2 linked regions of the Stegostoma tigrinum genome follow. The protein of the gene in region 1 interacts with the protein of each later gene in a pairwise test. Links are inferred from orthologs where the notes say so. Each region holds a gene or a part of one and is shown in the gene's direction. Other genes may lie near its edges.

Region 1 (7,182 bases):
ACAGTAGAGGCCCAAGGACAGAGCCCTGTGGAACACCACTCACCACTGACTTCCAGGCAGAATATTTTCCTTCTACTACCACTCGCTGTCTTCTGTTGGCCAGCCAATTCTGTATCCCTGTATCCCATTCCTCCTGACCTTCTGAATGAGCGTACCATGGGGAACCTTATCAAAAGCCTTGCTGAAGTCCATATACACCACATCCACCCTCATCAACTTTTCTAGGCACATCCTCAAAGAACTCGATAAGGTTTGTGATGCATGACAGGCCCCTCACAAAGCCGTGTTGACTGCATTTAATCAAGCCATGCTCTTCCAGATGGTCATAAATCCTATCCCTCAGAATCCTTTCTAACACCTTGCAGACGACAGACGTGAGACTTACTGGTCTGTAATTGCCGGGGATTTCCCTATTTCCTTTCTTGAAGAGAGGAATTACATTTGCCTCTCTCCAGTCCTCAGGTCCGACTCCAGTGGAGAGTGAGGATGCAAAGATCTTCGCAAGTGGTGAAGCAACTGCATTTCTCGTTTCCAAAAGCAGCCGAGGACAAATCTGGTCCGGGCCTGGCGACTTGTCAATCTTAATGTTTGACAAAATTTTCAGCACGTCAGCTTCTTCTATCTCTATCCATTCCAGCATGCACACCTGCTCTTCAAAGGTTTCATTCACTACAAAGTTCGTTTCTTTCGTAAAGACAGAAGTAAGAAACTCATTTAGGGCGTCCCCTACCTCCTCAGATTCCACACACAAGTTCCCTATGCTATCCCTGATCGGCCCTACTCTTTCTTTGACCATTCTCTTATTCCTCACATAAGTGTACAATGCCTTTGTGTTCTCCCTAATCCGTTCTGCCAAGCCTTTCTCGTGCCCCCTCCTGGCTCTCCTCAGACCATTTTGGAGCTCTTTCCTCGCCTGCCTGTAATCCTCTAGAGCTCAGCTTGACCCTAGCTTCCTCCACCTTATGTAAGCTACCTTCTTCCTTTTCACAAGAAGCTCCACCACTCTCGTCATCCAAGGTTCCTTTATCTTACCCCTTCTTGCCTGTCTCAGAGGGACATATTTATTCATCACTCGCAACAACTGTTCCTTAAACAGTCTCCACATGTCTATAGTGCCTTTACCATGGAACAATTTCTCCCAGTCCATGCTTCCTAACTCATGTCTAATCGCATCATAGTTTCCTCTTCCCCAATTAAATATCCTCCCATTTTGCCTAATCCTCTCCTTCTCCATAGCTATGTAGAATGTGAGACAGTTATGGTCACTATCACCAAAATGCTGTCCCACCACAAGATCTGATACCTGCCCCGGCTCGTTTCCGAGCACCAAGTCTAGAATGGCCTCTCCCCTCGTCGGCCTGTCAACGTACTGCGTTAGGAAACCCTCCTGAACACACCTTACAAAAACAGCTCCATTCAAACCTTCTGCTCGAAGGAGGTTCCAATCAATATTGGGAAAGTTAAAGTCACCCATAACAACAACCCTACTACATCCGCACTTTTCCAAAATCTGCCGACCTATACTTTCTTCAATCTCCCTGCTGCTATTGGGGGGCCTGTAGTAAACCCCTAACGAGGTGACTACTCCCTTGCTGTTCCTAATTTCCACCAACACTGACTCAGTAGGCAGATCTTCCTCGACAATGGAAGCTTCTGTAGCTGTGATACCCTCTCTGATTAGTAGTGCTACACCCCCTCCTCTTTTTCCCCCCTCCCTATTCTTTTTAAATGCTCTAAACCCTGGAACATCCAGCAACCATTCCTGCCCCTGAGAAACCCATGTCTCTGTTATGGCCACAATATCATAGCACCAGGTACTGATCCATGCTCTAAGTTCATCACTTTTATTCCTGATACTCCTTGCGTTAAAGCAAACACACTTTAACTGATCCCTTGGTTCCTTCCCAGGAAAATCCTTCCCACTAGCTGGTCTACCTCTTGCTATGGCCTCACCTGCATCAACTCTCACCTCCGGTACCCACCCCCCTGCCATACTAGTTTAAACCGTCTCAAACTACTCGAGCAAACCTTCCACCCAGGACTTTGGTCCCCTTCCAGTTCAGATGCAACCCGTCCTTCTTGTACAGGTCCCACCTTCCCCAGAAGGCATCCCAATTATCTACATATCTGAAGCCCTCCCTCCTACACCAGCTGCGCAGCCACGTGTTAAGCTGCGCCTGCTCCCTGTTCCTCGCCTCGCTATCTCGTGGCACCGGTAGTAAACTAGAGAACACTACTCTGTTCGTCCTGCTTTGCAGCTTCCATCCTAACTCCCTGAAATCACTTTTTATATCCTCAATCCTTTGTCTGGCTATATCGTTAGTGCCAATATGTAACACGATTTCTGGCTGTTCGCCCTCCCCTTTTAGAACCTTATACACCCGATCGGAAACGTCCCGGACCCTGGCACCAGGGAGGCAACATACCTTCCAGGAATCCTGATCCTGACCACAAAATCTCCTGTCGATTCCCCTAACTATCGAGTCGCCTACCACGAGTACTTTTCTATTCTGCCCCCTTCCCTCCTTTGCCACAGTATCAGGCTCAGTGCCAGAGAACTGACTACTATGACTTTCCTCTGGTAGGTCATCCCCCCCAGCAGTATCCAAAACGGTATACTTATTGCTGAGGGGAATGCCCACAGGGGATCTCCGCACTGTCTCTATCCCCTTTCCTCCCCCTAACTGTAACCCATCTATCCTTGTCCTGAGCCTTAGGAGTGACCAACTCCCGGTATCTCCTCTCAATTACCCCCTCTGCCTCCCGAATGATCCGTAGTTCATCCAGCTCCAGCTCCATTTCCCTAACACGGTTTCCAAGGAGCTGGAGTTGGGTGCACTTCCCGCAGATGTAGCCAGCGGAGACGTGTGCCATGTCTCCCACCTGCCACATTCTGCAGGAAGAGCAAGCAACTGCTCTAGCATCCATACCCCACTTATCTGAACACCCACTCATATCTGAAACCCTCCCTCGTACACCATCTGTTTAGCTGTACTATCCTCTTATTTCTAGCCTCACTGGCACCTGGCACAGGGAGTAATCTGGAGATTACAACCTTGGAGGTCCTGCTTTTTAACTTTCTACCTAACTCCCTGAACTGCTGCTGCAAGACTTCATCACACATCCTACCTATGTGGTCAGTACCAATATGTACCACGACCTCTGGCTGTTCACCCTCTCCCTTCAGAATGCTTCAGAGACATCCTGGACCCTGGCACCAGGGAGGCAACTGACCATCCTGGAGTCTCTTTTACATCTACAGAAATGCCTATCTGTACCCCTAACTATACAGTCCCCCATATCTAGTGCTCTTTGTTCTTCCCTTAAGAACAGAGCCAGCTGTGGTGCCACCAGTCTGGCTGTTACTGTTGTTATCCCCTGATAGGTCATTCCTCTCCAACAGTATCCAAAATGGTATTCTTGTTAGAGAGGAGGACAACCACAGGGGATACCAGCACTGGCTGTCTGCGACTTCTATTGGTCACCCATCTACCTGCCTGCACCTTGGGTGTTACCACATCTCTAAAACTACTGTCTATGATGCTTTCTGCCATTCTCATGGTCCTACGTGCATCCAATTGCTGCTGCAACATATCCACACATTCTGTGAGAAGCTGCAATTGGTTGCACTTCCTGCAGATGGATCTCTCACATCTCACAAGTGCAGCACTTAATGCCACTGACTGACATTTCTATGGCCAATTAAGCAGCTTAAGTAAAGTTTATTTAATGTCTCTTCCCACTTATACTGTATTTTCCTCCCATCTGCTCTCTCACTCACCCACCCAATCTCCTCTGGCTGGTCTCCCCCCGTTTATCTCCTTTCCCCAGTGCCTTCTCATGCCTACCCCCCATGCCTCTACTTCCATTGGTGGTACGTCTGCTCTCACAATACCCTCTTTGGCATGCTCTCAGATCACCCTGAACTCACTTCTCACCTTGTACCCTATCTTTCCCCACCACTGTAACCCCCCCCCCCCCGAGAGCCTACCATGCTACTGCTGGTCCCTTTTCTCTGCAATTCAGTGTGCACTCTTCCCAGCTATGGGTCTGCCCTTGTTCTCGACTTAGTGCTATCTCCACCCTCACAGCCCAGGGTGCCCAGGCCAGCCCCGCCTCTTCTCACACGTGACCCCCCACATTAACGGACCGCCGCCTGGCCCCTCCTACCGGAAGTTTCCGTGCGTGGTAGCGTCAGGTGGGCCGCCATGATTCGGCTGCGGTGTGGCCTGTTTCTCGGGACGTCCGGGGATGCGGCGACGATCCACCCGGACACCGGTATCTCCCATGTGCTGACCGTGGACTCCAACGAGCCGCCGCCTCTCGGTGACCGGCGGACGATGTTTGTGCGGGCGCTGGACGATGCAGCCGCCGACCTGCTGAGCTTTCTGGACGATTGCGTGCGGTTTGTGCAGGAGGCGCTGTCTGCAGCAGGAGCTGCTGTCCTGGTTCATTGGTACATTGACTGCTTCCCATTGACACCAAACACACTGCTCCTGTATCTCTTCACACTCGCCATTACCAGCTACTATAGGCAGGTCTATACCTGGAAACAAATTCTCAGTTAAAGCAAATAACATGTCAATAAAGGGCAAGGTGCCGAAGCAGAAAGCTTTTAAACATTTATATTGAATATCGAAAGCAACACTGCTCCAGCAACTTTCTGAAGAAGATTCCCGACCCCAACTGTCAGCTTTCCTGCTCCTGTGTTGCTGCCTGTGTTCGTTCAGCTCCACGCTGTGTTATCCCCTACTCCAGCATCTGCAGTTCTTGCTATCTCCGGCAACTTCTGTTTTTGTTTTAGAAATAGCTCATTTGTTTTCCAGTGAAACATGATCTAGCAAAGCATGAGCTACTTTAGGTTTACAGACGTATAAACGCAGCGCAAATGTTGGGAAAGAAATTATCTTACACCATTGACAATAAAACAAGGAACTGTGGATGCTGTAGATATGAAACAAACAAAATTAGTAGGTCTGTGGAGAAACAGCATCTGTGAAGAGAAAGCAGTATACGTTTTGAGTCTGGTGAAAGGTCGCTGTTTCCTCTCCGTAGATGCTGCCAAACGTGCTGAGTTTCTCCAAAAACTTGTTTTTATTGTTTATCTTTCGTATTTGATCCTCCATTGAATTTCATGTGTCAGTTGTATCTTAGACATGAGCCAGAGCTATGATTGTTGCCAGTCTGTCCACTGTTCCCCATATCTCGAAGTTAACTCCATGGTGTGACTTTGAACTGCAGTTAGTAACTGCATTTAACTTGTTTTTTTTTAAGAATTCTGCGTTTAATTTTGAAATTGGTCTTTGAGGGCTGTTGTGTGAAATCTTAGAGCAAACAGTTAGTGTTGTGCCCGTAAAGAAGAGCCAAACTGGACTTGAAACGTTAACTCTGTTTCTGTCTCCATTGGTGCTGTCAGACTTGACAAATTGCTCTGGCGTTATCTGTTTATGTCTAAGGGAGAATGTTGCTTGCAAGTTAATATTATTATAGCTTTACTCACCTGTACAGGAGTTCCTGCTCAATTCTGAGGAAGAGTCACTGAACCCAAAACGTTAACTTTTTTTCGTCACAGATGCTGCCAGACCTGCTGACCTTTTCCAGCAACTTTGTCTTTGTCCCTTTTTGCAAGGGCTGGGCCAAGAACCTCCATTGAATTCGCCCACCCTTATGTGCAAAGTACTGCTGTGCTTTTCCATTGCGCCTGCAGGATGGCTGACCAGAAAACTTTCCACTCTTACAGCTAAACAAAAATCTGAAAGAACTGTAGATTCTAGAAATCAGAAACAAAAACAGAAATTGCTGGACAAACTCAGCAGCTATGGCAGCATCTGTAAAAAGAAATCAGAGTTAATGTTTTGGACCAGTAACCCATCTTCAGAACCTCAGTATTTACAGCGATCAGGATTTAGAGATGGATAGTAATCCTGTTGGCTCACATTACAAATGCACCTTCTATGGTCAACAAGCATTGCCAAATAAAGAGACCAGGTGCACAATTCCTTGAAAGTGGAGTTGCCGGTAGACAGGGTGGTAAGTTTGGCATTACATTCATTGGTCAGAACATTGGGTGTAGGGGTTGGGACATCATTGGGGTCATACAGCACAGAAACCGATCCTTTGGTCCTACCAGTCCATGCTAACCATAATCCCAAACTAAACTGGTCTCACCTGCCTGCTCGTGGCCCATATACGTCCAAACCTTTCCTATTCATGTACTTATCCAAATGTCTTTTAAACATTGTAATTGTACCCACATTCACTACTTCCTCTGGAAGTTCATTCCACTCACGAACCATACCTCTGTGTGGGAAAAAAAATGCTGCTCATGTCTTTTTTAAATCTCTCCTATCACCTTAAAAATATGTCCCCAATCTTGAAATCCCCCATGTTAGGGAAAAGACAACTGCCTTTTAACTCTAACTATACCTGTAACTATTTCGTAAACTTCTATAAGGTCACCTCACAACCTCCTATGCTCCAGTGAAAATAGTCTCAGCCTGTCCAACCTTTCTTTATAACTCAAACCATCCATACCTGGCAACATCCTGGTAAATCTCTTCTGAATGCTCTCCAGCTTGATAGTATCCTCCCTATAACTGGGTGGCTAGAACTGGACACAGTATTCCTTTAGGGGCCTCACCAATATCGTGTACAACCTCAACATGACTTCCCAAATCCTATACTCAAAGGACTGAACAATGAAGGCAAGCATGCCAAATGTTTTTTTTTAACCATCCTGTCTATGTGTGACACAAAATTCAAAGAACCCCTAGGTCCCTCTGTCTTACAACAGTATCCAAGGCCCTACCCTTGTTTATTGCACCAAACTGCAATGCCTCAGATTGAACTCCATCTGCCATTCATCAGCCAATTGACATTTCATCAACATCCCTTTGTAAGCTTAGAAAACCTTCACTGACTGCTATGCCACCAATTTTGGTGACGTCCGCAAACTTACTGACCATGCTTTCTGTATTCTCATATAAATGATTAATATAAATGGCAAACAGATGAGGACCCCGAACCGATCTCTGGTGGAACAATGCTGGTGACAGGCCTCCACCACTGAAAAGCAACCTTCCACCATCACACTCTGTCTCCTACTGTTAAGCCAACTATGTATCCAAATGGCAAGCTCACCCCGAATCCTACGTGATCTAACTTTACTAATTAGTCTACCAT
Region 2 (6,916 bases), on another chromosome or scaffold:
CCAGCTTTGTCTCATCTGCAAACTTGGAGATGTCACATTTAGCTCCCTCGTTTAAATCATTAACATATATTGTGAATAGTTAGGGTCCAAGCGGTGATCCCTGTGGTACCAATAGTCACTAGCTGCCATTTGGAATACAAACTTTTTATTCCTATTCTTTGTTTCTTGTTTGCCAACCAGTTCTCAATCTACGTCAGTACATTACCCCTAATCCCATGCGCTTTAATTTTGCATGGTAACGTCTTATGTGGGACCTTATCAAAAGCCTTCTAAAAGTCCAAGCAAAACAAATCCCTGGCACTCCTTACAACAGTACTTGTTACATCCACGAAAATTTCGAATAGATTTGTCACGTATGATTTTCCTTACATAAATCCATGCTGACTCTGTTCAATTCTGTCACTGTTTTCCAAATGCTCTTCTAATAAATCTTTTATAATGTGCCTTAGACATTTCCCTACAATCACATCAGGCTAACTGGTCTATCCCTGTTTTATTTCTACCTCCTTTTAAAAACTGTTTGGTTACATTAGTTACCCTCCAAAGTCTACAAAATCTGGAAAGATGATCACCAACGCACCCACTATTTCTATGGTCATTTCCTTACATAATCTGGGATGTAGATTATTGGACCCTACAGATTTATCAGTTTTCAATCCCATCAATTTACCCTGATTTTCCCATCTGATTTCCTTCAGTTCCTCTGTCTCACTACACTGTCTTTCCCAACAGTTCAAGGACATTTTTTGGGTTATCCTTTGTGAATACAGAATGAAAATAATTATTTAATTGATCTGCCATCTCTGTTTTCTATTATAATAACCCCTATATCTGATTGGTGGCTGCTTCAGAGTGCCGGGGCCCTGAATTTGATTCCACCCTCAGGTGACTGTCTGCATGGAGTTTGCACGTTCTCCCCGTGTCTGCGTGGGTTTTCTCCAGGTGCTCCAGTTTCCTCCCACAGTCCAAAGATGTGCAGGCTAGGTGGATTGACCATGCTAAATTGCCTGCAGTGTTCAGGGATGTGTAGATTATGGGTCTGGGTGAGATGCAATGAGGTTCGGTGTGGACTTGTTGGGCTGAAGGGCCTGTTTCCACACTGTAGGGTTTCTATGAAAACTACACTTGTCTTTACAAGTGTTTTTTTTTCTTCACATAGTTATGGATGATCTTACAATCAGTTGGTAAAAAGATACAAGGGGCAGGTCCTTACCTCTGGGCTAAAAGGCCTGGGATCAAGGCCCACCTACTCCAGAGGTTGTCATGGTATGTTCTGAACAGGTTGATTAAAATCATCTGTAAGGAACCACTCCTTGTGGCAAGCTAACCAGTTTCTAACTTGTGAGCTAATATTAATGTGTACTTACATGCTACACCTCTTGATTTTTGCCCTCTGAAGTTTGTGCGCAGCTGCAATGTCCAAACATGTATATCAATGTGTCAGTCATGCAGTTCAGAAGAAACACTGCTTACACTCAAGATAATAAAATGTGAGGCTGGATGAACACAGCAGGCCAAGCAGCATCTCAGGAGCACAAAAGCTGACGTTTCGGGCCTAGACCCTTCATCAGAGCTTATTCCAAGATAATAAAATGTGAGGCTGGATGAGCACAGCAGGCCAAGCAGCATGTGCTCCTGAGATGCTGCTTGGCCTGCTGTGTTCATCCAGCCTCACATTTTATTATCTTGGAATTCTCCAGCATCTGCAGTTCCCATTATCTCTGACACTGCTTACACTCATGTATGTCTCACAGGAGGGTGCCACATTACATCAGTAATATAAACAGTCATTAAGGACTATGTATTAAAATTATTCTGTTCAACAAGACAGAGCCTCTCTTCTCCTGAAGGCTTTAAATGAATAGTCTTCTCCATGTGGAATCACTAAGTGTAGACTATTAGCAATAAAAAGAGTTGATGGCAGTGAATCTGCCCAAGGCATCTCAGATGGCCAACATAAACCATGCATATAGCAACGCAGATTTTGTAATATAGAACATGAATGATATAGAATTCTTCCTTTCACATTTTTGACGAAGGAGGAATTTCTTCCGTTATAGGGTGATGAATCTGTGGAATACTTTACCATAGAGGGCTAGCAAAGTTGGGTCATTAAGTACGTCCAAGGTTGGAGCAGACAGACTTTGTAAACTAAGGGAATCAAGGGAGATAGAGAAAAGGCAGGAACGTAGAATTGAGGATTATAGATCAACCATGATGTCATTGAATGACGGAGCAGACTCAATAGGCCAAATTCGATTCTGCCCGCAATTAAAAATAATCATGGCTGATCATTCAGCTCAATACACTTTTCCCACATTCACCTCATAATATTTGATTCCTTTAGCCCTAAGAACTATCTTCTTCATGAACACATTCAATGTTTGGCCTCAGCAGTTTTCTGTGGCAGTGAATTCCATTGGCTCACCACTCTCTGGAATGGAGTTGAAGATTATCAGATCAGCCAAGATCTCATAGAATGGTAAAACAAACTTAATGGGCTGAATGACCTAATTCTGCTTCTACAGCTTATGGTCTCATGGAATGAGTGCCTCCTGAGTTGCAGGCAATCACTGATTTGATGAAAATGATTTAGAAATTCTTGAAAGAATGATTCTTAAAAGGCTTGAGTTAAGCATTTGGAAAGAAAATTAATTAGAGACTAAAATAGAGTCATCACAGTTCTACCAGATAACAGGGCTGCTTTCTCACTCAGAGCTAGTAATAACTGCAATGCTGGAGTCAGAGATAACACAGTATGGAGCTGGAGGAACACAGTAGGCCAGGCAGCATCAGAGGAGCAGATTTCTGAAGAAGGGTTGTGATGTCAACTGTCCTGCTCTTCTGATGCTTCCTGGCCTGCTGTATTCCTCCAGCTCCACACAGTGCTACCTTAGGGCTGCTTTCTCAGATATTTTGTAACAACCTGTTCAGAGATGTTATGACACACCTCTGGGTCAGGTGGGGCTTAAACCCAGACCTCCTGGTCCACAACAGCCATCAGGGCTACTCTCTCATTACAGGTGAAATGTTGAGGACAGCGATCTGAGGTGATGCAGGTTGTTGAGTCTAGGCTCTGCATAACAAATCAACCATCCAATGGTATCAATGTGGACTTCACAAGCTTCAAAATCTCACCCCCCCACCGCATCCCAAAACCAGTCCAGCCTTGTCCCCGCCTCTCTAACCTGTCCTTCTTCCCACCTATCCCCTCCTCCCACCTCAAGCCCCACCTCCATTTCCTACCTACTAACCTCATCCCGCCCCCTTGATGTCTGTCCTCACTGGACTGACCAATTTTCTCCCTAACTTCCCACCTACACTCACCTTTACTGGATCCATCCCTGCCTTTTGACTTCTGTCTCCTCTCCACCTATCTTCTCCTTTATCCATCAATCCGCCTCCCACCCCTCCCTATTTATTTCTTCCCCTTCCCCTCCCCCAATTCTGAAGAAGGGGCCAGACCCGAAACGTCAGCTTTCCTGCTCCTCTGATGCTGCTCGGCCGGCTGTGTTCATCCAGCTTCATACACTTTGTTATCTCCGACCATCCAACCAACAGACTTAACCGAACCACTCAAGAAGGTCCAGAAACGGTGCAAGTCCTGAAATTGTGTGATATGTGCACATGCAGCGAGATTGGAAGACATGGCAATAAAAAAGAGCCCCCTTCATGGAAGACGTGCTGATAACCTGGAGCAAGGTGGCACCCTGAATGTCCCGGGCTCTTGCCACGTGCCACAACAAGGCGTGTATCATTTCTGCAAAGGCGGGAGATCCTCGCGTTGCCGGGGTGACCGAGGCGCGCGCGATTTGGAAGGGGGTAGCGGGGCGGAGGCGCTGTTCACGCGAGACCCGTTGTGCGGTCTGGGGGTGGGAGGGGCTGAAGCGGGGGCGGGGGGAAACAAGAGGCGTGAGAAGCTGGCTGACAGGCCTTTGGGGTAGGAAGGCGAGAGCAACAGGTAAGGTGAATGTGCCGTAGCTCTCGGTGTTGAGTTACATTAGAGTACCCTCCTATTCCCGTTGCCGTGTGCCATTCCACAGAGCGGCCTGCAGTAGCAGCTGAGGGCTGGATGGCATGGCAACCAAACGCCAGGCTTCAGTTCCCCCACATAGGCCAGCCCCCTTTTCTACGCCTCCTCCCTTTCGTATCATGTTTGCACTTCAGTCAGAACCATGTTGATTTTACGTTTTGTTTTCTAATCCACCTCTTCAGAACTGTTATGACAGCAACTCATATTTCGCTTGGGAACGCTGCAGCCCAGTGGTATCAACGTGGGCTTCACAAGCTTCAAAATCTCCCCTTCCCCCACTGCATCCCAAAACCAGCCCAGTTCGTCCCCTCCACCCACTGCATCCCAAAACCAGTCCAGCCTGTCTCTGCCTCCCTAACCAGTTCTTCCTCTCACCTATCCCTTCCTCCCACCTCAAGCCGCACCTCCATTTCCTACCTACTAGCCTCATCCCACCTCCTTGACCTATCCCCTCCCTACCTCCCCACCTATACTCTCCTCTCCACCTATCTTGTTTTCTCTCCATCTTTGGTCTGCCTCCCCCTCTCTCCCTATTTATTCCAGTTCCCTCTCCCCATCCCCCTCTCTGATGAAGGGTCTAGGCCTGAAACGTCAGCTTTTGTGCTCCTGAGATGGTGCTTGGCCTGTTGTGTTCATCCAGCTCCACACTTTGTGGTCTTGAACCCCAGCCTCCTTGTGCAGAGATAGGGACACTGCCATTGCACCACAAGAACCCTGGCAGCATTCTTTTAAAAAGGGATTTTTATAGGATGAAGGAAGTCGTTTTTAGCAAATCAAGTATTTTATTTGAAGCAAGACTCTGATTTTAGGGATGATTTCTATAGCTTTTTGACTTTACAAAAAAAACTACCCCCCCGTCCCTCTATACTGTGCCTAGTCCATGAATTTCCATCTTATTTTGCCCTGAATTAGTTGAGGGTTTACTTGTACCTCATGATTTTAAAACGACTGCCTTGCATATCCATGTTGAAGATTTTATTTTGTTTTGGTTGCCGTGTATGTGTTTTGCATAAAAGTGTAACTGTTGGTTTTTGTAAAATTATGTCTTGATGTAATGTTGATATAATTGATATTTGGGTGAATCCACCAATTTGAAATTGTAAAGAGCCTTTATAATATAACTCCTTTATGAGATGTGGGCACTACTGGATGGTCTAGCATTTATTGACCATCATTTATTGCCCTTTACAACGAGGTGACAAGCCATTTTCTTGAACTGCTGCAGTCCCATTGCTCTAGGTGGACCACAAAGCAGATGCAGAGGTATACAGCTTGGAAACAGATTGTTTAGTCCAACCCATGCTGACCAGAAATCACAATCTGACCTAGTTCCATTTGCCAGCATTTGGCCCATATTTCCCTCACTTTTTGTTCTCTGATGAAAGGTCTAGGCCCGAAATGCCAGCTTTTGTGCTCCTAAGATGCTGCTTGGCCTTCTGTGTTCATCCAGCTCCACACTTCATTGTCTCCGATTCTTCAGCATCTGCAGTTCCCATCATCTCTCTCCCCCTCATTCCTTCCTATTCATATACATATCCTTCTAAATGTTATTGTACCCATTTCCTCCTCTTCCCTGGCAGCCTCTTGTATACGTGCCCGTCCATCAATGTAGCTATTAGGGAGGCAGTTGAGGGCCAGTGATTTAATTCCAAGGATTTTCCTGTACATCTGCTGCCCTTCTTATAGATGATAAAATCATTAATAGGAGCAGGAGTAGGCCATTCAATCCCTTGAGCCATTTTGTAGGCTCATAGTGGATTCTGTTTCTGTTTGCTAGATCAACTAACAGCAGATTTCGTGGGATTGAAAGGTGTTAGGAGAGTTCCTGTGCTGCAGCTTGTATATGGTATATATTATATGCCACTTGCATAAGAAGTAAAAGTTGAGGGTGGTGGATGGGTGCTTACTACGAAGACCACTTGGTTCTGGATGGTGTTGAGCTCCTTGTTAGAATTGCACTCATGAGAGCAGAAATAGGATATTCAGGCTATTGAGTCTTCTGTGCCATTTGATGGGCTCATACTTGATCAAATAGCCGTGTGTTCCACTTTCCTACCTTTCCCCCATAACACAGGATGTCCTTGCTGTTTAAAAAAACTGCCTATCTCAGCTTTGAATGTATTTAATGACCCAGCCCCGGATATACTTAACAACCCAGCCCTGACTGCCCTCTGAAGTAAAGAATTTCACAGATTGCCCAATCTTTGAGAAGTGGGAAAAGATACTCCTTACTGCTGCCCAAAATGGGTGACCCCTTTCTCAGATTATATCTTCTGGTCTGGACTCTTCCCACAAGGGGAAACAACCTCTCCACAACTACCCTGTCAAGCCTGTCAAGAATCTTGCATTTCAGTGAGGCCATCTTGCATTTTTCTAAACTCTAATGAGTACAAGATACTTCAGTTAAATGCTGTCTTAAAGTTATGGGAAGTTACTCTTCCTTTATCTCTTGAGGACGTCAAGTTTATTTAAGAACATAGAACATTACAGCACAGTACAGGCCCTTCGGCCCTCGATGTTGTGCTGACCTGTCATACCGATCTGAAGCCCGTCTAACCTACACTATTTCATGTACGTCCATATGCTTATCCAATGATGACTTAAATGTACTTAAAGTTGGCGAATCTACTGCCGTTGCAGGCAAAGCGTTCCATTCCCTTACTACTCTCTGAGTAAAGAAACTACCTCTGACACCTGTCCTATATCTTTCACCCCTCAATTTAAAGCTATGCTCCCTTGTGCTCGCCGTCACCATCCTAGGAAAAAGGCTCTCCCTATCCACCCCATCTAACCCTCTGATTATCTTACATGTCTCAATTAAGTCACCTCTCAACCTTCTTCTCTCTAATGAAAACAGCCTCAAGACCCTCCCTCCATACCAGG

The links. The genes of interacting proteins can lie anywhere in the genome.
Region 2: the proteins of dusp12 (region 1) and ppp2r3b interact in binary tests that used the Homo sapiens proteins (3 or more experiments, as listed by UniProt). The two-hybrid records come from large-scale screens. The link is inferred for Stegostoma tigrinum from reciprocal best matches to the Homo sapiens genes DUSP12 and PPP2R3B.

Annotation. Positions count from the first base shown.
Region 1 is NC_081361.1:42,796,997-42,804,178, reverse strand, and holds the start of dusp12 (dual specificity protein phosphatase 12), read left to right. Parts: upstream 1-4,177; 5' UTR 4,178-4,208; coding exon 4,209-4,534; intron 4,535-7,182. UniProt on the Homo sapiens protein: Dual specificity phosphatase; can dephosphorylate both phosphotyrosine and phosphoserine or phosphothreonine residues. Can dephosphorylate glucokinase (in vitro).
Region 2 is NC_081359.1:98,679,998-98,686,913, reverse strand, and holds the start of ppp2r3b (serine/threonine-protein phosphatase 2A regulatory subunit B'' subunit beta), read left to right. Parts: upstream 1-3,894; 5' UTR 3,895-3,961; intron 3,962-6,916. UniProt on the Homo sapiens protein: The B regulatory subunit might modulate substrate selectivity and catalytic activity, and might also direct the localization of the catalytic enzyme to a particular subcellular compartment.